Rattus norvegicus: one gene and its partner. The protein of the gene in region 1 purifies or fractionates together with the protein of each later gene. This does not show direct contact. Links are inferred from orthologs where the notes say so. Each region holds a gene or a part of one and is shown on either strand. Other genes may lie near its edges.

Evidence for each region.
Region 2: the proteins of Hnrnph2 (region 1) and Plod1 purify together in Homo sapiens (affinity purification with mass spectrometry; 3 studies listed by BioGRID and IntAct, counting the BioPlex papers as one, with this or other methods). This does not show direct contact. The link is inferred for Rattus norvegicus from reciprocal best matches to the Homo sapiens genes HNRNPH2 and PLOD1.

What each region holds. Positions count from the first base shown.
Region 1 is NC_086039.1:102,074,147-102,084,836, forward strand, and holds Hnrnph2 (heterogeneous nuclear ribonucleoprotein H2), read left to right. Parts: upstream 1-102; 5' UTR 103-165; intron 166-1,495; 5' UTR 1,496-1,558; exon of another isoform or gene 1,559-1,723; 5' UTR 1,724-1,768; exon of another isoform or gene 1,769-3,770; 5' UTR 3,771-3,823; coding exon 3,824-5,173; 3' UTR 5,174-5,300; downstream 5,301-10,690. UniProt on the Homo sapiens protein: This protein is a component of the heterogeneous nuclear ribonucleoprotein (hnRNP) complexes which provide the substrate for the processing events that pre-mRNAs undergo before becoming functional, translatable mRNAs in the cytoplasm. Binds poly(RG).
Region 2 is NC_086023.1:163,643,747-163,655,338, reverse strand, and holds the start of Plod1 (procollagen-lysine,2-oxoglutarate 5-dioxygenase 1 precursor), read left to right. Parts: upstream 1-4,601; 5' UTR 4,602-4,649; coding exon 4,650-4,725; intron 4,726-9,142; coding exon 9,143-9,234; intron 9,235-10,125; coding exon 10,126-10,262; intron 10,263-10,624; coding exon 10,625-10,788; intron 10,789-11,592. Other genes in the region: 2510039O18Rikl (uncharacterized protein KIAA2013 homolog), read right to left, coding at 1-98. UniProt on the Homo sapiens protein: Part of a complex composed of PLOD1, P3H3 and P3H4 that catalyzes hydroxylation of lysine residues in collagen alpha chains and is required for normal assembly and cross-linkling of collagen fibrils.

The DNA of each region.
Region 1 (10,690 bases):
TCCCGAGTTTAAGCCGAGAGTTGCTCACGTGACCGAGATCTCACATGACGTAGATGCTCACGTGATCAATCGCTTACGTGAGCAGAAGTAGTTCTGGTCGTCGTCTATCGTCTCGCTATAGCCGTTTGAGGGAAGAAGGAGGAAAATCCCCCGGTATCGTTGGAGGTTGGTGTGCGGGTGGGAACTGGGGACCCCGGGTGGTGATAAGGAAGAGCAGAGTCGGGTTTGGGGTCGCCTCCGCCTTTTTCGTGCTCCGCTCCCCCCCAACCCCGTCCTCCTCCCCCCTCCCCCTCCCGGAGTGCCGGGAAGCGGCCTGCGCTGCGCCTGGTGGGGAAATGGTGGACGGTCGTGACTGTGTGCGTGTTTTTGTAAATCAGTTCCTTTGGCCCTATCTCGGGGGACTTTTCTCCCTCTGCCCGCAAGAGGGACACGTAAGATGAAAAGCGATTCAAACACAGTCCGGAGTTAGGGAAAAAAGAAAAGAAAAGAAAAAAACAACAGAGTGAGACCCGCGGTCGGAGTACCGCTCCATCCATTCAGGCGCTCAACTATTCAAACTGCCGGATGGTCTTAAGGGGTCCTGAGGGAATTCCATCCCTAAAAGTATGAGCTAGGCAAGTGATGCGTGCTCGAGAGGCGCCCAATAAATGCGTTTACTTAATTATTTGAACGTTTGTTTTTCTGCTTATCACGATCTACGAGTTGAATTTTGGTCCTTCGAAAAGTAATAAATTCCTTTAAAAGGGACACAGTTCAGCACTACCCAACTCTTATTACAGTTACAAAAAGTGTGCTGTAACATGGGTATAAGTACACAGATTCTTAACTCCTAAATCCTGCTTACTACGTTAGGTAACAGAATCCTGGTGGCCTTCTCAGGAAATGTAAGAAAGCAAAACCTCCCAGCCACTATAGGGAGGACCTATTGAGACAGAATGCTGTAGAAATAACCATCGTCCCTGGGATGGTGTGTCAAATTATTCTTTAAGCAGACCGTTAAGCTTGCACAAAATAAAGTAAAAAAATAAACCATAAACTCAATAGCCATTGTTAACATTTGATGTCCTATCCCCATCACTGCACACAAAAAAGTTTTTAAAATTTTTTGTCATATTCCCATGCATATATTTTTGTTCTAAGATTATTTTAGTTCCAATACAGTGAGCTTAAAGAATTAAAAACTTGAAAGTGTATAATATTAAAAGGTAAAAGGCATTCATTCCATTGGGCTCATTTGTTCTTCAAGTTTATCTTACATGAAGCTCCTTTCAAACGGTCTCTCACACAATTGTGCATTTCGTTTCATTCTTGAACATTTTAATAGAGGTAGGATTATATTATTGAATGTTCATTCATTCATTCATTCAATGTATTTTGCAAATCTTTCCAGGTAGGGGCAGATCACTTGGTCAGTAATTTTAAGGTAGAAATATATTTCATCCATCTCTGTTGATGACCATTTAGTCTTCTGATTTTTTTTTTTTAACCATTACAGCAAACATTTTAAAAGTATTTCTGTCGGCCAGATTCCTGGAAGAAACTCTAACAGGGTCAAAGGGTATGTGAATTTTTATTTTTTACATAATTGAGATGAAGAAAATGGCTATAATCTTGAGTCATTTAAAAATATGTAACTTAATATTAAATGTATAATGTTCTACTTTTCTTCATTAAATGCCTTTCAAGTACTACATAGTTCAATAAGTCCTGCTCTTAATTTCAGATAATTCCTTAAGGCACATACCTGAAGTGGATTTTCTGTCAGAAGGTGTGGTAAATATTACCAACATGCTTTTCCACAATCGTACAGTTTTTATCTCTTTTGGTGAACTTTAGATTGTGAACTGTCTGTAATGTTGATGTATTGTCACAGTTGAATTTCCACTATTTTTGATTGGTGTAAAAATGTTGATTTTACTTTCAATTTCATTTTGAATGAAGTTTGAGTGTGTCCCAGACTTTTTCCCTATACACTCCTTTCACTTCTGCATTTAAATTTGGTTTTGGTCATAATCACATCATTACGCCTCTCCTTGTCCCTCCCTCCAAACCTTCCCACGCTTCAACACCTTGCTCTCTTTCCAATTCTTGGCCTTTTTCTCAGTTGTTACATACGTGTGTATATTCCTAAATCATAAATACCACCTGCTCAGCTTATTGTGTGCATGCTGCGAGGATTGACCCTTTGCTACTAGATAACCAATTGGTGTGCGTGGCTTTGGGGAAGACAGCATTCCCCATTATCAGCATTCCCCATTATCAGCATTCCTTAGTTGCTGCAGTCCTATATCCTCCTTTGTTGTGAATTGTTCTGTTCGTGGGTAGGGTCTCAACTATTCATTCCTGGCTGACCTGGAACTCCCTCTGTCAAGCAAGCTGGCCTCAAACTCAGACCTGCCTGTCTCTGCTTCCAGAGTGCTGGGATTAAAGGCACATGCCAGCCCACCCATCTCAATAAGTCACTTTTTAAAAAGATTATTTATTTATTTAAGTGTTCTCTTTGCATGTATGCCTTCTGCATGACAGAGAGGGCATCAGACAGAACAGAGCATTGGATCCCATTAATAAATGATCATGAACCACCATATGGTTGATGGGAATTGAACTCAGGACCTCTGGAAGAGCAGCCAGTGCTCTTTAGCAAGCTCCTCAATAGGTCATTTTAAGAGTTTGCTCGTAGTACCCCTTTCCTTCTGTTTGAATGCTCCATTTGCCTGGGTGATAGGTCTGAAACAGCTGCAATGACATGTTTAAAATCCATAGGTGATACATATATATGTATATCTATCCTCCCTTCTGTACACCCAGAGCCATAATGTACCATAATGTCTTAAGGTTTGGGGGAGGTACATGTCACATAGTACTATGAATACTGAATCCTGAATTGTGCTTATGAACCAAACAAGAGTCTAGGGTATGTATAGAACCCTCAGGATCCCATCTCTTTCGTTATAGTCTTGTCTTTGGAGTTTTGTACCCTTTCATTTTGTGTCCCATTAGAGTTTTTATAGATCCTAGATCTGAGTCCTGGAACAGAATCAGGATAGTTTGTTTCCATTCACCCTTCTGTCTCCAGTTGATACACTTCATCAGCCAGTCCTTCTGTGTATTTGCCTTCTATGTAGTCTGTATTTGCACTTACCTTTGGGGCAACACACAGTTCTCCTTCTCCAGACTTAATTGGTTCTTCCATGGCAGAACTGAGTACTGGATGTGGCCCCTAAAACATGTTTGAATGTATAAATACCCATTAAGCCTTTTCCATTTATCTTTTAGGCTTTAATAGTTCTGTATTTTATTGACTTGCATTCATTGTTTATATTCTTAGGCTATGGATGGATTTGTTGTATCATCTCATGAGTATTGTCTTTTGATTTAAAGAATATTTTCATTTTTATATATAATGGAATGTAGTTACACTTTGTTATATTTAGTTCTAATTTTCTCTGTGTGATGTTAATATATTGGCTCAGTGCAGAAAATTTAGAATATTTGAAATTATCTAAAGGAAAAAAGTATCCATGGAAACAAAAAATTCCTATAATACTGTTAACCAGAAATAACCACCATAAATTAATTATACCTGATACATAATAGAAATGAAATAAGTACCCTCGAAGTGAATGAATTAAAAGTTTTATGCAGTCTTTGTTCATATAGCTCCTTTGAAAATCTTACTGATAAGAACTTGTAAAATAATAGTTTTCTTTGTTTCTCTTACTCTATTGTATACACTTTTTCATGACAATAGTTTTCTAATTTTTTTAAAGCCACATTGAAATTGCATTGAGCCAAGCTTGCCACCAAGAGTCCATCAGTCACCATGATGCTGAGCACAGAGGGCAGGGAGGGGTTCGTGGTGAAGGTCAGGGGCCTACCCTGGTCCTGCTCAGCCGAGGAAGTGATGCGCTTCTTTTCTGATTGCAAAATCCAAAATGGCACATCAGGTGTTCGTTTCATCTACACCAGAGAAGGCAGACCGAGTGGTGAAGCATTTGTCGAACTCGAATCTGAAGATGAAGTGAAATTGGCTTTAAAGAAAGACAGAGAAACCATGGGACACAGATATGTTGAAGTATTCAAATCCAACAGTGTTGAAATGGATTGGGTGTTAAAGCATACAGGTCCAAATAGTCCTGATACTGCCAATGATGGGTTTGTACGGCTCAGAGGACTCCCATTTGGCTGTAGCAAGGAAGAAATTGTTCAGTTCTTTTCAGGGTTGGAAATTGTGCCAAATGGGATGACACTGCCAGTGGACTTTCAGGGGCGGAGCACAGGGGAAGCTTTTGTGCAGTTTGCTTCACAGGAGATAGCTGAAAAGGCCTTAAAGAAACACAAGGAAAGAATAGGGCATAGGTACATCGAGATCTTCAAGAGTAGCAGAGCTGAAGTCCGAACCCACTATGATCCCCCTCGAAAGCTCATGACTATGCAGCGCCCGGGTCCTTATGATAGGCCAGGGGCTGGGAGAGGGTATAATAGCATTGGCAGAGGAGCTGGGTTTGAAAGAATGAGGCGGGGTGCCTATGGTGGAGGGTACGGAGGCTATGATGACTACGGAGGTTATAATGACGGGTATGGTTTTGGGTCTGATAGATTTGGAAGAGACCTAAACTACTGTTTCTCAGGAATGTCTGATCATCGATATGGAGATGGTGGGTCCAGTTTCCAGAGCACCACAGGGCACTGTGTACACATGAGGGGGTTACCATACAGAGCCACTGAGAATGATATTTACAATTTTTTCTCACCTCTTAATCCCATGAGAGTACACATTGAAATCGGACCTGATGGCAGAGTCACGGGTGAGGCAGACGTTGAGTTTGCTACTCATGAAGACGCTGTGGCAGCTATGGCAAAAGATAAAGCAAATATGCAGCACAGATATGTGGAGCTCTTCCTGAATTCTACCGCAGGGACGAGTGGAGGAGCTTATGATCATAGCTATGTAGAGCTCTTTTTGAATTCTACAGCAGGGGCAAGCGGTGGTGCTTATGGCAGCCAGATGATGGGAGGGATGGGTTTATCCAACCAGTCTAGTTATGGAGGTCCAGCCAGCCAGCAGCTGAGTGCTGGCTACGGAGGTGGTTATGGTGGTCAGAGCAGTATGAGCGGATATGACCAAGTTCTTCAGGAAAACTCAAGTGACTATCAGTCAAACCTTGCTTAGGAAGAGAGGAAGCATCAAAGAGCATCTACAGGAATAAAAAGTACATTATAGGAACTGGATAGAGTAGGGAGGATGTCCAGCATATCCAGTATGATTGGTAAATGGGAAATACAATTGCTTCTGATCACTATTGGTCAGCTTCTTTCTTTCTTCTTTCTCCTTTTTTTTAAAGAGAACAAAATTTAAGTTTAACAGTTTCGCATTACAAGCTTGTGATTCATGCTTACTGTAAAGTGAAAGTTACGATTGTTTTCAAACTTTAAGCTCAGCAATTTTGAACACTGAAAATATTCATCTAGGATGTAATAACAAGTTCAGTATTGACCATAACTGTCAATTCCACTTTCAGCTTTCCTCAAGTTAGTTATGTTGTAGGAGTGTACTTAAGCAGTAAGCATCTTTAGGTTTAAAGCAGTTTCACTTACGTTAAATGTTGCTCTTATACCACAATACATCGAAAACTTCAGATGCATGTTGAGAAACATGCTTTTCTGTAAAAAATATAGGAGCTGTGTCTGATTCAAAGTGACATTTGGCATGTTTGTTAATTCTAGCTTTTTGGTTTAATATCCTGTAAGGCACGTGAGTGTACACTTTCACCTTTTTTTTTTTTTTTTTTTTAAAGATCCGGGACAATTTTGAGATGTGATACCAATACATTAGGAGTTTGGTCATGTTATTTGTATGGAATTCTGGGGCTTTGATTTAAATCTTACCTTGTATTGTGAATTCCATTTAGATGTATTGTACTAAGTGAAACTTGTTAAATAAATCTTCCTTTTAAAAACTGGAAAAATCTTGCATAGTTTGATTTTTTTTTAAATCATGTTCTATTATATGGGCACACAGTAACTGGCTTTTAAAATTGTCTGCTATTGAAATTTTCTTTTCTCAAATATTCCAGGATGAATGGTTCAAGTTTTGATCCTCCTGCCTCTGCCTCCTGAGTATTGGAATTGCAGTCATACATCACTGTCCAGTTTATGCGGTGCTGGGGAATAACCCAGGGCTGCTTGCATACATGACAGGAACTCTACCAACAAGGCTATAGTTATAGCCTAAATTTTGGTTTGTGTGTTTGAGTGTTGGTAGAGGGCAGAGAAGAAGATTGGATATCCTTTTCTAAATACCCTGCCTATAGTCTAGGTGACAGGGTCTTTCACTGAGTCTAGAGCTAGGCTGGCAGCCAGGAAGTCCCAGTGATCTGCCACTGCTGTGTACAGCACTGGGGTTATAGTCACTGCTCTTGCTGGGTCATACTTTGTGAATGACCATAGCTGCTGGCCTTTTTCATGGCTGCTGGAGTTGTGAACGCAGCTTGCTCAGCTAGCACTCATTTATTTTTGATTCTATGTAGTTCCAGGTGTCCTAGAAAACTAGACCAGGCTGGCCTCGAACTCACAGAGATCCACCTGCTTCATCTTCCTAAATGCTGGGTTTAAAAGTGTGCGTGTGCATACCATGCCTGCTCCCCCTCCCCCCAATCTCTCCTTCCTTTCCTTCCTTCCTTCCTTTGGCTGGCCTTGGACTCACAAAGATCCACCTGCCTCTGTCTCCTCAGTGCTGGGATTAAGAGTACTGGGATTGGGACTGAAGAGATGGCTCAACAATTAAGAATACTGACTGCTGGGTTGGGGATTTAGCTCAGTGGTAGAGCGCTTGCTCCAAAAAAAAAAAAAAAAAGAATACTGACTGCCCTTCCGGAGGTCCTGGGTTCAATTCCCAGCAACCACATGGTGATTCACATCTGTAATGAGATCTGATGCCCTCTTCTGGTATGTCTGAAGACAGCTACAGTGTACTCATAGAATAAACATTTTTAAAGGACCGGGATTAGGGCTGGAGAGATGGCTCAGCGTTCAAGAGCACTGGCTGCTTGCCAGAGGATCCATGTTCAAATCCCAGCACCCACATAGCAACTCACAACTGTAACTCTAGTTCTAGGTGATCTAGCACCCTCAGACAGACATGAATGCAGATAAAACACCAAGATAGAAGAGTGCTGGGATTAAAGACATGTTTTGCCACCGCCTGGCCACAGAAAGCACTCTTACCCATTAAGATGCCTCTCCGTCCCTGCAATGTTTACTTAGTTAGAGACAGGGTTTCTCTGTGTAGCCCTGACTGTCCTGGAGTCTGTAGAACAAGTTGGCTTCAAACTCAACAATCTTCCTACCTCTGCCTCCGAAGAGCTGGGATTAAAGGTGTGTACCACCGCTGTATTTCTTAAAGGTTTTTTTAAACTAGAATTCCTGGAGACTTTGTGCTTTATCAAGACAACATTCCCAAAGTCCAAAGAAGTAGAAAGCAAGTGACTGCTTTCATTTGACCATGAATATGCTATGCCTCAGATGGAAAATAAAGCAGGCTATAGAAAAATCCTATTCTACACAAATTATTTGATAACACCTTTAAGTGCCTTTTATTTTTAGGGTTTTCAGACCTCTAAAGCTTAGTTGTGCTAAGAGTACTTGCGACCACATTTTGAAAACAGCTTAGGATTCTCTCACTCCTAAAGGTTTAACCCTGAAAGGAACTTAAGAAATAGTTGCATTTATGATCACGTGTTCTCTCCTTATTCATGGCAAGTAGCTCGACATTTCTGACATGCAAGCCATAGCTGATTGTTTACCATACCTTGCACCTCCCACGAGTATTCTGAGCACCTGCAGCACTTGTCTTGCGGTACCTTGCATGTCTGTATCCTGGTGGTTAGCAGTTTCACCTCTCATTGACCTGCAGTCCTGGACACCTCAGACCAGTAAAGGCTGCACACTAACTCTGTATTTCTGGATATATGACTGCTCAGGAACTGGACAGTTGTCTTTGAGCTGTCTATGCTCTGCATTTGTAGAGATACCCTGTGATGTAGGGTGCAGGTACCAGCTTCATATTAATTTGTACAGGATACTTTATTAAGTATGGTTTCTGGAAATTTAAAAGAATGGTACTGAGATTTGAGACTCACTGATGGTTTCTACTTAATATTTTTGGTTGGTTGGTTGATTTTTAAGTTGTTTGTAATTTCAAATACAGTTGGCAGGAGAGCAGGCAATCCGGTTTGACTTTTATGTCGTTGCACCTGTCACTATCTTTTTTTCCTAAGCACATTTTAGAACCCTTTCTCAGAGAAGTAAATTCAAGGTGGTGGTTTCTCCGTGCTGAGGAATTTTTCTAGAAGTTTCTCGAAGTATAAATGAAAAAGCTCCAGTTAGCCACTAGATGTCACCAAGTTCCCAAAAAGGAGAGCTGACTCCTGCGATGCTAGAAAGCCCTTTGCTACATTAAAATGGGGCCAGCAACACGGCTTTTGCAGATAAAGGTGCTCCCTGCCTGCCGTGCCTCTCAGTGTTTGATCCCTGGGGACCCACACCAAAGAGACCTATGCTGAGAGAATGAAACTCAGCAAGCTGTCCTCTCACCAGCTTCCTCTCATGTGGTATGTCCCCCACCCCTCAAAAAATAGTAAGAAACTCAGGCTCTGGGGAAGAGTGAAAGGAAAGAGTCTGGAGGACATATGTGCTCAGTCCTAGAGGTGGCAGAAGGACAATAGTACCAACACTGATCCCTGATCCCCGTATACTATACTTGTCTACAGGCACCCCCACTCCACCCTACCGCACACACTGCTAGTGACCCAGCATAAAAATTACCCAGGGAAGTATTATAGGAGGTAAACTGGATGTTCCGCTCTCCTGAGTCAAGCTACTTGGCAAGAGCAGCATACAGTTGTACGGTACAGTAATCATGGCCTAAAATTGTTCCCACAATAACTTGTGTCAGTGTTCCGGTGTGGTTTGTGGAGCAGCAGCAGTACAACCTCAGGCTTCCTTAAGAATGTGGCTTTTCAGAATTGGAACGATTGAGAAACTCAGGGTGAATCCCAACAAGCTGTGTTTTAATAAGTATGTAATGTGCTCTGCTAATGTGCTTATTTATGTGTGGGTTCTGTAAGCCACTGATCCATTCACTCATTCCGGACTTAATTCATCTGACCCTAAAATGGGTAACCAAATAGAATCATATCTAGAACCACAGAAGACTGTTGACTCATCCCCTAGCAAAGTAGTAAGAAAATGTGATGTCAAATTCATTTGTAAATCAAATACCTATCCGAGTGTACATATGCACACCAGAAGAGGGCATCAGATCCCATTTCAGGTAGCTGTGAGTCACCATGGGATTGCTGGGATTTGAACTCAGGATCTTAACTGCTCTTAACTGCTGAGCCCCAAGAAGATTTTTTAATGCTATTAGTAAAAATGATAGCAATTTTTTCCAAAATGGGCCATAAGGGCGATTGCCACACAACTGGTGATAAAGTGGAATTCCATTGGTTTGCCCAGTACCAGGCTGAGTGTCATGAGAGCTCTTTTGTAACCTGTTCCCACACTGACTGCAATTCAGTCTTGTGAATGGTATCCCCTTTCTTTCCTCCCTTCCTTTTCTGCACGTTAAAATAAAATTATTTTGTGTATATAGGTGGGGAGTTGCCTGGATGTTTATCTGTGGACCACTTGGGTATGTGGGAGTAGTGGAGAGGAGAGGAAACTGGAATGGACCATCCTGTGGATGCTGGGAACAGAACCTGGGCCCCCTAGGAGAGGTGTCAGTGTCCTTAACTGACAGTCTGCTTTCTCCAGCCCCAACCTAAGCTGGAGGACAGTTTTATTAGAGTCTAAAAGAAAACTCCCAGGGTAGCAAGCTGTAAATCTTGGGAGCTGCCAGAAGTGGGAAGGAAGATGGCGGGGAGAGGAAGTCATCCAGTTCGGGTTAGAGAAAGAGTGAAGCCCAGTTTCTTAGGGAAAGCATGCTTAGAAAGGAGATAGAAGAAAAGGACGTTTTACACTTTTTCTGAAAAGCCAGCCAGCTCACTGGTGCTCCATTAACTGAGTGTCCCATTTATCTTTTCCTAATGCTCTGTTTGGCCAATCTGTTAAGATATCCAGCTGTTTGCTTCTGGTTTTCTTTCTTTTATTCGTTTGTTTAGAGGTTGAGGGAGTCTGGGGATTGAACCTGGGACCTTGCCTACGAAGACAAAACCACTGAGATACATACCTAACCCTTTTGAAATAGTCTGATTGAATATTGCCAGTAACCATTTTCCAAGATCCTCTTTACCCTCTTGCTGCTACCCTTTGTGCTTGATCTGTTTCTCATATAAGGGGTGCTATTAGGTTTCATTGCCACCCCCACTTTAGAGATGGGGAAACTGAGTCTCAGGGACTCAACCATCTTGGGGAAAGAAAGTTGTGCTGGAGGAAAGCAGGAAATAATGTGGGTGGGGGAGTGAAGAACATGTCTGGGTTCCACGTGGGATGGTGTAGCGGCTCCTGGGAACTTGTGGGTGAGGATATCTCTGAGCAACGCAGGAACCACTCTCAGCTTTCCCAGCCCTCTCTCTCTCACTAGGGAGCTCACAGTAAGCAGGGGGGTGGGGGCCTGGGATAGGGAGGGTCGAGAGAATTTGGCCGTAATCCATTTCTTCCTCTCTTTCCAGATGGCTGGAGGCCCTTA
Region 2 (11,592 bases), on another chromosome or scaffold:
AAGAGCAGCAGCAGGAGGCCGAGCAGGCAGAGGAGGCGGCGGGCCCAGCTGCTCGACAGCAGCCCCGGCAGCCCCTTCAGGCGCTGCTGCAGCCACATCGGGCCCGCCGCCCAGCCCTCCCGCCCGGCCGCCGCCGCTCACTCCCCGGGCCGCGTCGCCGCGCCCACCTCAAAGCCCACCGTAGCCGCCCCAGCAGCCACCTTCACCGCTTCCTCCTTCTTCTTGGTTGCCTCCTAGACGTCAAACGCCGCCGGCCGTAAAGCATCGCTGAGTTTTTTTTTTTTGCGACAAGGTGGAAAAGCGGCCAAGGGCGGGATTTGGGGAAGGGGCGGAGTTTCTTTGAGGGCGTGGCCGGGCGGGGGCAGGGCGGGGCAAAATGTGGGCAGGAATCCAAATGGCTTGGTGGAAAAAAGAGAAAAGAAAATCAGAGAGCAAGCCAAACCCAACGAGAGCTGCGCCTCGTTAGCTGCTGATGGTTTCAACAGCCCTAAAGTTAAAAAATAAAAACGTACTGTTTCTGTAAACTATTTTTAACTGAATGAAGAAAAGACATAGAGGTAAATGGAAGGAAGGAAAGAAGGAAAGGAGACAGGGAGGAATGAAGTGTAGAGGGAAGGAAGAGGAGGAGGAAGGGTAGCCACTGAAAAACGATGTCCTAAGGAAATATTTTGTCGGCAGCGTTTCAAACCTGCCTGGCTGTTGAGTACACCAGAGTGGGACATAAATCCAGCTCAGGAATGCCTGTTTCTTAAACACACCAAGTAGTTTTCTTAAGGTCCATCTTTAACTCATTCAATAACAGTTTTAACTCATTCAATAACACGAAACATACTTTTCTCATACTTTGACATGACCTACAGCATCCATATGGGGGGGAGGGGCGGCGCGGCCTGGGAATCGACTGGAGCCCTGGAGCAGACAGTGGGTGGTTGTTTCCACTTTGGATTCTAGGCAGACAACGGGCGATTGTTTCCCATTTTGGAGTCTGAGCAATCCAGAGCTAGATGGGCTGTTGCAAATTCACAGTTGACAATTAAACGGTCACTTGAGGTGGTTTCTAGTGGGCTGTAAGCAGACAGAAAGTTGTTTGCTGAAGTTGTGAGCCCGCGTCGCATTGGAAGAATGCTCATCCTGTTTTGCTTTTACTTTATTTTTTTGTTCATCTTTGAGACAGGATCTCTCTTGTATTGTCCAGACTGGACTTCAAACAATTCCTAGGCCCCAAAGATTCTTTCTCAGCATTCCCAGTCGCTAGAATTAAAGGCACATGTCCAGCTTTTACCCGTTTTTATTTTCACACAAGAATCCATGCTAAGAGCCCGGCAGTGGTGGCACATGCCTCTAGTCCGAGCACTTAAGAGACAGGGGCAGGTGGATCTCGGAGTTGGAGGCCAGTCTGGTCTACAGAGTTCCAGGACAACCAGGGCTACACAGAGAAACCCTGTCTTGAAAAACTAAACTAAACAAAGAAAAAAAACAAACAAACAAATGCCCCAAAGCTCAATAGCACATTTTTAGCCAGGTATTGTGTACATGTCTTTAATCTGATTCTTTGAAGAGGCAGAGGTAGATGGATTTTAGTGAGTTCAAGGCTGGCCTGTCTACACAGTGAGACTTTATCTCAAAGTAAACAACAAAACAATCACGGGCTGGAGAGATGGCTCAGCGGTTAAGAGCACCCGAGGGGCTGGGGATTTAGCTCAGTGGTAGAGCGCTTACCTAGGAAGCGCAAGGCCCTGGGTTCGGTCCCCAGCTCCGAAAAAAAGAACCAAAAAAAAAAAAAAAAAAAAAAAAAAAAAAAAAGCACCCGACTAGTCTTCCAGAGGTCCTGAGTTCAATTCCCAGCAACCACATGGTGGCTCACAACCATCTGTAATGGGATCTGATGCCCTCTTCTGGTGTGTCTGAAGCCAGTGTACTTATACATAATAAATGAATAAATCTTTAAAAAAAAATCACACTCCCCTCCCCCCTTTGGCAGAGTTTTAGCTCAGAACAGAGCACAAGCGATTTCCCAGAACCTCAAAATTAAAATAAAAATCTAATGGCAAGATGGCTCAGTAGGTAAAGGCATTCATTCGCCAGGAAGTGTGATGACTTCTGTACCTAGGACCTACATGGTGGAATGAGAGAACAGACAACTCCATGTGCATATTGTATGTCTAAGTCAGAAGATGGTGCGGGATCCCTGGAAGTGGTGCTGCCAGTCTCTTAACTGCCCAACCATCTCTCCAGCCTCTCTTTTTAGTGGATGACAAGAGGAAGCCTCTCCGGCGTCTGCGCAAAGTGGAGTCCTGCGCCTTTAACAGTCCAAAGCACGTGGAGCACGTACTAGAAATTCGAGAAGCAACATCTGGACAGCAGCCACCACCCCTGCTTAAAGAAACAGGCCGCCGTACACGAATCTTGGACGGTGTTCAAGTTCTAGCAATTCGATGAACCAAACAGGAAACAGATACCAGAAGCGTGTAAAGTCGGGCTTTACAAGAGTGAACCCTTCCTCTTGAAGGTTCAGGCAGTTTCTAGAGCCCATCCCTCTTTTAATTTAGACTCTGATGACTGCCCAGGAATGTCTTCTATCTGGGGTATATCACTGGTGAGGGTCTCCGTGGACTCTGGCAAAAAGGCAGTTCTAGCTGGGAGCTGTCTGATGCTTCCTTACTGCGGCCCCACGTCACGTGTGTGATGCCAAGCAGATAATGCTTCTCCGAGCCTTAGTTTCTCCTTTTGCAAACAGTTACAAGCATGAAGAAGAGCTTTGAAAACTGAGCCAGCCAACACAGGCTGGCTGCTTCTCCCCCCCCCACCCCCCATTTACACTTGCATTTCCTCCTTTGGGGGTTTGGAAATCTCAGTCCTCGGCCTTCTGAGTCTAAAACACCCGGTAGACGCTGGTGGATCTTTGGCACCAAGTCCTGTCTCCAGCTGCAGCAGCTCCTGGCCCTAAGTCCCAGCTGGGAAGCCAATGTTCTGCATTCTGCTGAGGTCTCTTCCTCTGGTTTGTCTTGTGACTTCGAGCTTGCTGCTGGAGAGCCCTGGGCCCCCTACAGTCTGAGAGTGTGAGTGAGCCTCTGCACAATGAGGCGGACTCCCGTCTTCCAGCCGGTTCTCATTTTCGAGAAAGGACACAAGTTCTAAAACTATACAAATATTGTACATCTTTCTTAACAAAAGAGAGAGAGAGAGAGAGAGAGAGAGAGAGAGAGAGAGAGAGAAATAAGAAAAGAATTCTCCACAGTAATATGACCTAGAAATGCTGTGTAAGTTATGCACCGGTTTATACCACAACCTGGAAGTAATCTTTGCCAACGTTTGTCTGTGACTTCCTTTCTTTGGTTGGAGGTGAATGGGTGTTGTTAGGGTCTCACTCAGTCCACACTGGCCTCAAGCTATATAGTCACCAGCTGCATGGCTGAGCATGTCCCAAACTCCTGATCCTGCTACACCTCCTGAGTGCAGGCATTCTAGTTTGACTGACCCTCCCCTTCCTTCTCTCTTTCCTGACCGGGTCTGGCTGTGCAACTCTGGCCGGCTTTGGGCAATGGAGCTCTTCTACTTCCCAAGTGCTAGGATTTAGGCACACCCCACCCTACCCCACCCAGCACTGATTTTACCTATCTACAAGGCTGAGAGTAGTCTGTCTTTGACAAAGACTCGTACTGAAGAGACAGCTTTTCCCGAGTAGCATTCTGTAGATAGTGTTTCCTCTGTGAAAGTCCACTTCTTCCCAACTTCCTGATTCCTTCAAGCCCCCCCCCAACCCTGCCCTAGAGTCTAATCTGTGGGAAAGAGGTTCCAGGGTCCCTGTCTGAGCTCTCTTCCGTGGCTTGTCGGATTTTATTCAGAGGCGAACGTACATGGCTGACATCTGGACCAGGAGCTCTTGCCCCAGAAACCTTTGATCAGCTTTTACTTTGAGTGTCAATGAATGGCATTGAAAAATTTCACTCCATCCATTTAACTGCTATTCATCCACGTCCACCCACCCCACCTACCCATCCATCCATCCACCCATCCATCCATCCATCCATCCATCCATTCATCTATCCATCCATCCACTTACCCACCCATCCATCTACACCCCCGTCCATCCCACAATTAACCTCTGCAGCCAGAATTTCCTTGACTATTTTCAGATTTCCTTTCAAGGGGCGGAAAGTTGAATTAAGTGATTCCCTTTTGGGAGCTGGGGCTAGACTCTTTTTTTTTTTCCCTAACAGTTCCAGCGTCTGCAGAGGTGTCAACAACTGTGTCCACTCTAGGCTTAACCGCTCACCTCTGGAATTTGGGGAACGCATAAAGAAAATGAAATCTCTAAGAGACACTGAAATGCTCTACAGATCCCATCATCGCTGTGCATGGTGTTAAGCACCCTTTTCTAGACATCAAGGCCTCGCCTTCATCGCCCACTTGGAGGTGTATGGGGCATGGACAGTCCGGCAACAGGACTAAGGGGCCACAGTGACCTGCCCCAGGTCTGGAAGACCCGCAAGCTTAAGCAGGAAGACCCTACCCGGAGGCGGGCGGAGGAGTGCGGGGCACCGCCCCCGGGGCGGGCCCCAGTGCGTGGCAGCGCTCGCCCGCCCCATCGCGAAGTTTCCAGTTCAGCTTGTGTTTCAGTGCCGGCGGATCGTCTCCAAGACTCGACTATGCGGTCCCTGCTGCTCCTGGCCTCGCTGGCCTGGCTTCTTCTGGCCCAGGCGAAGGACGACGCCAAGCTGGAGGGTGAGGGCGCGGTGGCGGAGCTGTGTCAGGCTGTCTCGCCGAGGACCCGGGTGTCCAGGCGACCTGGGCTGGAAGGGCGGGGGGAACTGGGTCTTGGTCATCTGTCCACTTGCCCGCGGGTGACTCCGATAGATCACTTCCTCTCATGGGGTCGGGATTCCTAGGTTTGTCCTGCGAGCAGAGGAGAGGACAGCCGGAGTACACCCCTCATCCACCCACGCGCGCCCCCTAACCTCATTTGGCTCCCAGAGGAGCCCATGATCAATCACAGTTCCCATATTAAGTAGCAAGGCTCCTACAGTAGCCGGGCCTCACCAGTTAAGCACCAGTTAAGCACGTTTGCTGTAAGTGTTATCTTATGTTTAACCCCATTTTCTAGCTTCACAAACTGAGGCTCCAGAGTTGATTGGTTCTCCCGAAGGGCACACAGCTTGTGGGCATTGGGAATGGCTTTATCTACCTCTCTGGGTGTGTCTGGTTCCGGAGCCCAGCCTTGAGTTCTTGTTATCTTTAGAGTAAGGGGATTTGGAGTGAAGGAGCTTAGCGAGGCATGCAGCCGGGAGTGGTTGGTCCCAGGTCGCTTGAACTCGCAGCCAGTGCTCATTCTGCTTCTCCAAGGGCTACTGGATTCTGAACTGTGTCCCGACTGCCCCACTATCCTGTCCCCCCAGCCCATGCTGGACTAGACCACCCCCAGTCCTGCTGTCTGAGACCCCACCCCATCCCAGGAGAACAGACTGTGGACCACCCAGACAGGCAAAACCAAACCAGCCACATTCTCTAGGGCATCCTGTTTCCTTCTGCCCATCCTCCTGGAGACCTGGGAGCTGGCCTAGTCGTGGTGGGTGGTAGGAGAGTGGCGGACTCTGGTGGGTGAGCCCTGTGGGTAAGAGCGCTTGCCTAGCTTGCATGCAGCCCAGGGTTTGGTTCCCAGCACTGCATAAAGTAAAACATGGCTGTGCGTGCTTATAACCCCAGTACTGAGGAAGGTTGGAGCAGGATTATCAGACGTTAAAGTCATCCTCTACTACACAAAGGGTTGAGGTCAGTCTAGGCTACATGAGACCCTGGCCAAAACCAAAATCAAACAACCCCCCCCCCAAAAAAAAAAAACAAAAAACAAAAACCAAAAAACCCCAAGGCTTTGAGACCCATGTGCTGGGAACCACTGGTTTTCGAATGCCTGCTGCATCCATGCTATTAGACACAGGATCACACACCTTCCACTGGTTACATTGGGGATGCACAGTCTTTGAGAAGCTTGGTATTCTAGACCGATACACAGGGTGGCAATACCTCATTCCCAGAGATCACGAGAGATTCCTCAGATGAGGCTGGTCCCTGAGTCCCCGTAAAGTCAAGGCTCTGGGCATTCTTTCCCAGCTCAGAGCAGCTAGTTTTCTGTAGGGTCTAATCTGGCGTGGAAGGAAGATGGATGAGAGACTATTTGGTAAGTCCGACGCGACCACGGGGTTGGTAAAGTGTGCAAAAGCCTGGTCCACCCAGTGACGGGAGCCTGGGGCCCTGTGGTAAGCCACCTCTTCTCTGTCTCACGTGCTCTCCTGCTTCTGCTGGTGTATGCCCTTCTACCCAGACCATCCAAGTTACAAGAGCTTCCGCCCAGAGTGGGAGGGGGTCAGAGATGCTCCTCACTACTGAGGACACGGTCCTTCATCCTGACCCAGCAGCGGCAGGTGAAAGCCGGTGCCTGAGGGTACTCAGCTCCCCCTCTTGGAAGGGTACCCCTCCGTGCCAAGAATGGAGGCATCACCTCACAGACACCCAGTAATTAAGATACTCATTGAGCCTTCACATTAATCTCTGAGAGAGGGCTCCTTTATCCACGGTTCCTATGGTGCAGTTGAGGACACGGAGGCATGGGGAGGGTCAATCCCCTGCTGAGCCGTCTGCTCTTACCGCTTTGCTCTACCACCCCTCTTTCACCTCTGCTGACTGGGGTCACAGTTTGTCCATCTGAGGAGATCATCGCCGGACTTTGGGCAGCAGGTGGGGAGGGCTGAGCTTTCAGGGTGCCAGGCCCATTTGGTTTTCGTGGCTGTTGAGCAGACAAAACAGGCCTTGGGGGCGGGGATGGGGGATGTGAGTGGGGTGGGGGTGGGGGTGCTATCCCAATCAACCTATAACTCCTGTTGACACTATGTGGGTGGCCCAGAGCTCTGATGGGCTTGACAGTGGACTGGAGAAGGTACCTGTACTAGGGGAGCTTGGAGAAACCCCAGTGGCTCAGGGTTCTGTCTTTAGTCAGCTGTTCCACCATGCTGCGTGCTGTGAACGTGGCTGGGCGCACCTCTGTCAGGTGGATCTGTGTGAGTTCGATGCCAGCTAGCATGGTCTACAGAGTGAGTTCCGGGACAGCCGAGGCATGTGCTGGCCTATGCTGCTCTTCCTGCCCCCTTTTGGCAAGAGGGCCTCAGAGCTGATGACCGGACTGGTTTTCCTCACCTGCAGGGAGACTTAACTTTTCAGGCAAGCGTTGGCAGCCCTTCCTCCCTTGTGAGAGGCAGCAGCTTTCTTCTCTGGGCCCCCAGGGCCAAGTGGGGAGGTTACCCCTCCACAGCTGTTTTCTTTTCTTTTTTTTTAAAAGATTTATTTTATGTACATGAGTACACTGTCGCTGTCTTCAGACACACCAGGCATCAGATCCTATTACAGATGGTTGTGAGCCACCATGGGGTTGCTGGGAATTGAACTCAGGACCTCTGGAAGAGCAGTCAGCGCTCTTAACTGCTGAGCCATTTCTCCAACCCCTTCCACAGCTGTTTATGGCATCATCTGCTCCTGCCCAGGCCCCTGAACCCATCCCACCGGGTCCTGCCAATTCCTGCTTTGAGTTCTGGCACTGATCCCTTGCTGCAGGGGATAACTTCCTGCCTAAGCAGCTGGGAGACCTGGTTTCCTTTGTTCTCTCAGCTCAAACTCCTGATGTCAAGAGGTGGGAAGGGAAAGGTCTTACCTGCCTGCTGCTGGCCTGACTAGTTTGTTGTTATTGTTACTATTTGGTTTGTTTTTGAGTGTGTGTGTGTGTGTGTGTGTGTGTGTGTGTGTGTATGTGTGTGTGTGTGTTGTCCTGTTCATTTACATAAATGGGAGTTCTGGATTCAGAGGAGCCATACCAGCCATTGAATAGTGGGCCTGTCCCTCAACCTCCATGGGCAAACATCTGAGTGGGAATCACAGGGGTTGATAGCAGAGGAAGGAAAGGGGTGCTAGTATGTCTGACTGGCCCTGGGATTTTTGGCAAGAAGGACAGAAGCCATCAGCAAGACTCAGGCTGAAGAAAAGTCATACACAAACCATAAAATGAGTCTACCCTCTAGCCACACAGAGCCATGGATACTGGACAAGGCATCCCCCTCACTGGTCAACCCCACTGATTTCTCTCATTGTGTGCCAAGTGTCTAGCAGCCCCGAAAGGCAGGCACTTTATTGTCCTTACTGAATAAGGACAATAAAGAACTGAGTTTCAGGGCCTTGCCCTGGGTCACATAGTTTGTAAGGCAGTGTTAGGATCTAAGCTGGCAGGCCAGCCCCTACCCTCCCTTCTCAAGCATCACAGCCTCACAATAGGGTCTACAGGGGATGCTGGGGACTCCCATAGACGCTGTCTTGGCAATTGCTTCTAGCACGTTCTGTTGCCGAGGTGAAGTCGCCCTGCAGACCTGGCTGAGGTCCCTTGTTAAGAAGGTAGTAACAAAGCCAGACATGTTGGTAGTGCATTCTTGGAATCTCAGCGTTTGGGAGTGGAGGTAGGAAGTCCGAGAGACAAATGCAAGGACAGCTTTGCTACCTGTTGAGTTGGGTATGGGCTTGGGTCACATGAGAACCATTTTCAAAATGAGAGGGAGGAGAGATGGTATGAGCTCCTCTGGCCACAGACATGGACAGATGGGTGGACTTTAAGTTGGTCTCTACCTCAGGCAGCCTGAACTGGAAACATGGCATTGGGAGAGTCAGCTATGCAGGGTTGGGAAGGACCAGAGTGGATGAGTATGTCCACCCTTGGTGCATGCGTAGAGAGGAAGCAGCCTCTGAATCCTGTACTTGCCATCCCCAGACTAATGCCCAGCACCGGCCAGAGAGATCCTCCCATGGTCAGCGCTCAGGGTATCCTCCCTTCCACCCCACGTGATGCCTGCACCCTCTAAAGCCAGAGACTTTGTTTCACAAGGCAGGGTGCACCCCTACCCCCATTGCTGCCTGACATATTTGTCAATTTCTACATACAAGGACGCCGAGGGAGGGAATTGGGAGACAAGGGTTACATCCCTGTTTTTTTCCTTACCCCACTAGATGGTCCGTGGCATAGCCTGAGCCCTTGACTGTAGTGGTGTGATGAAGGCCACCGTTCAAGGCTCATGTCCTCCTTTCTCCTCACCACCCCCTTCTCTGTCCACAGACAACCTTTTGGTCCTCACCGTGGCCACAAAAGAGACAGAGGGCTTCCGCCGATTCAAGCGCTCAGCCCAGTTCTTCAACTACAAGATCCAGGTGAGGGCTTCCTGGGAAAGGCAGAGACGGTGTGTGACATGTATATATGTGTGTGGGGGGGGGAGTCCAGGGGCTGGGGCATCTCCTTCCCACAGTTAGGGCTCTTGGGACAGATTTAGATGTCAAGAGGCAGCTTCCCAGGGGCCAAAGAGTGAGCTTGGATTAGGATGAAGGGCGGAGTGTGAGTAGATTCTAGGAGGTGAACGAGAGGGAGAGTGGAGGCTAGAGAGATGCGGACTGGTACCCGGATGGCAGTGTGCACCGGCCTCACTGGGAGTGGTAGTGTAGATGGCAGAGCCTGGGAACCAGCACTCCCACAATCCCACATCTTAGTGGATGTGGTCTAAATACATTCTCTGGAGTGTGTACACTGCTTGTCTGCCGGGCATAGACTTCATGTCGTTATGGGACCTGCCTGCCGGAAGTCAGCCCTCACCTCAGTGGGCCATTCTGAGTGTTGGGCACTGGGGACAGAGACGCACTCAGCCTAGTCATGGCCTATAGAGAGCTGGGTGTTATTTCAGGCGTTGCTAGATCCAGGGTCCCAGGCATCAAAGGGCTTTATTTTCCCATCTCCAGAAACAGGCTCTCTCCATTGTGGTGACTCTAACCGTAGACTCCTATACCACAACCTTTTCAACCTCAGCCAATCATGACATCCTTGCCTTAATTTTAACAATGGTCCCAGGGAAGACTCTGATAGGCCATGTTTGGATTATATGCTCAAAGCTCCAGCTGTGGGAGGGGCCGAAGGAGTGTGGATGTAGCGAATGTTTATGCACGGTCACATGACCACCACTGGCATCACCTGGTATGGAAGCAAAGATAGCCACTGCTCAAACTGGGTGGGAGAATATTTCTCCACCAAAAGCTGGGGGCCTCTCTCTGCAGTCACTGGGCCTGGGGGAGGACTGGAGCGCGGCCGGGGGACCATCGGCAGCAGGTGGAGGACAGAAGGTTCGGCTGCTGAAGAAGGCACTGAAAAAGTATGCAGACAAGGAAGACCTGGTTATTCTCTTCGTTGACAGGTGGGTGTGCGGGGAATCGGGTCCTGGGAGTTCGGAGTGGTGTTAGGGGCGGGGTCCCAAGTAAGACCTTTCCTGGACATCAGGAGGCTCCCTTGCTAAGCTTATCTAAGGTCAGAAGAGCCCAGGGTATGTCTCTCTGATGTAAGCCAATACTCCTGTTGGGGAAGAGATAAGAGGTGTGAGCGGCCGAAGATGACAGAGGAACCAGTTTTAATATGACATGGAAATGGGGCAGACAGCAGTATGTGGCGGTGTGCAGATCTGTCTCTCAGATGGTGGCTGGCATAGGATGTGAGGGGGTCCTGATCCCTGTGTCCCCCTGTGGGTGCTCTCTCTGGAGCACCTTCTTGCTTTGGCCACAGCTATGACGTGGTGTTTGCCTCGGGACCCCGGGAACTCTTAAAGAAGTTCCAGCAGGCCAAGAGCCGGGTGGTCTTCTCAGCAGAGGAGCTTATCTACCCTGACCGGAGGCTGGAGGCCAAGTATCCCACAGTCCCCGATGGCAAACGATTCTTGGGCTCTGGAGGTAAGTGGTTCTGCACAGGGTGTGGGGACCGGTGCCTGACTTCGCCGTGGGTCTTAGGTTTCAAATGCATTCTGTGTCAAAGAGAGCCTCTGAGGGGGGTCCTCCTCACTCTGTTGAAGGGCCATCTATCTATACTGGAGAAACTGAATCACCCCTGATAACCTCATTCTGCTTTCCAAAGATCTCTAGAACCCAGTGACTCAGTGGGCTCTGTGAGACCTTATTTCAAAAGACTGGACTGATGAAATTTCTCAGTGGGCATAGCCTCTTGCCATATAGCCTAACAATCTGGGTTTAATCCTCAGAACCCACGTGGTAGAAGGAGAGAAGCAACTGTCTCAAGTTGTCCTCTGACCTACAAACCCCTCGCCCCCCCCACATGCACACACACACACTGACACACACTCACTCCCCATTCACCTATACGCACAGATACACACTCACTCTCATACGCAGTCATTTTCACACATACACACACTCACATATACACGCACTCACACTCACAAACACACTCATCCCTCCACTCACCTATACCCACAGATATACACTCACTCTCATACACACTCATCTTCACACAAACACACACCCCCTATACTCACACATACACTCACCCCCCCAGCACTCCCACACATACACACACCCCACACTCACCCACACACTCACAATACACTTACACACACTCACACACACAAATGTGTAAAAAAGAAATTAAAAGCAGAAAAACAGGGTGGGGCGGGTGGCTGAGTTGGTAGAATGCTTGCCCGCATATACTAAGCCCTGGGTTCCCAAGAATTGGAGACATGG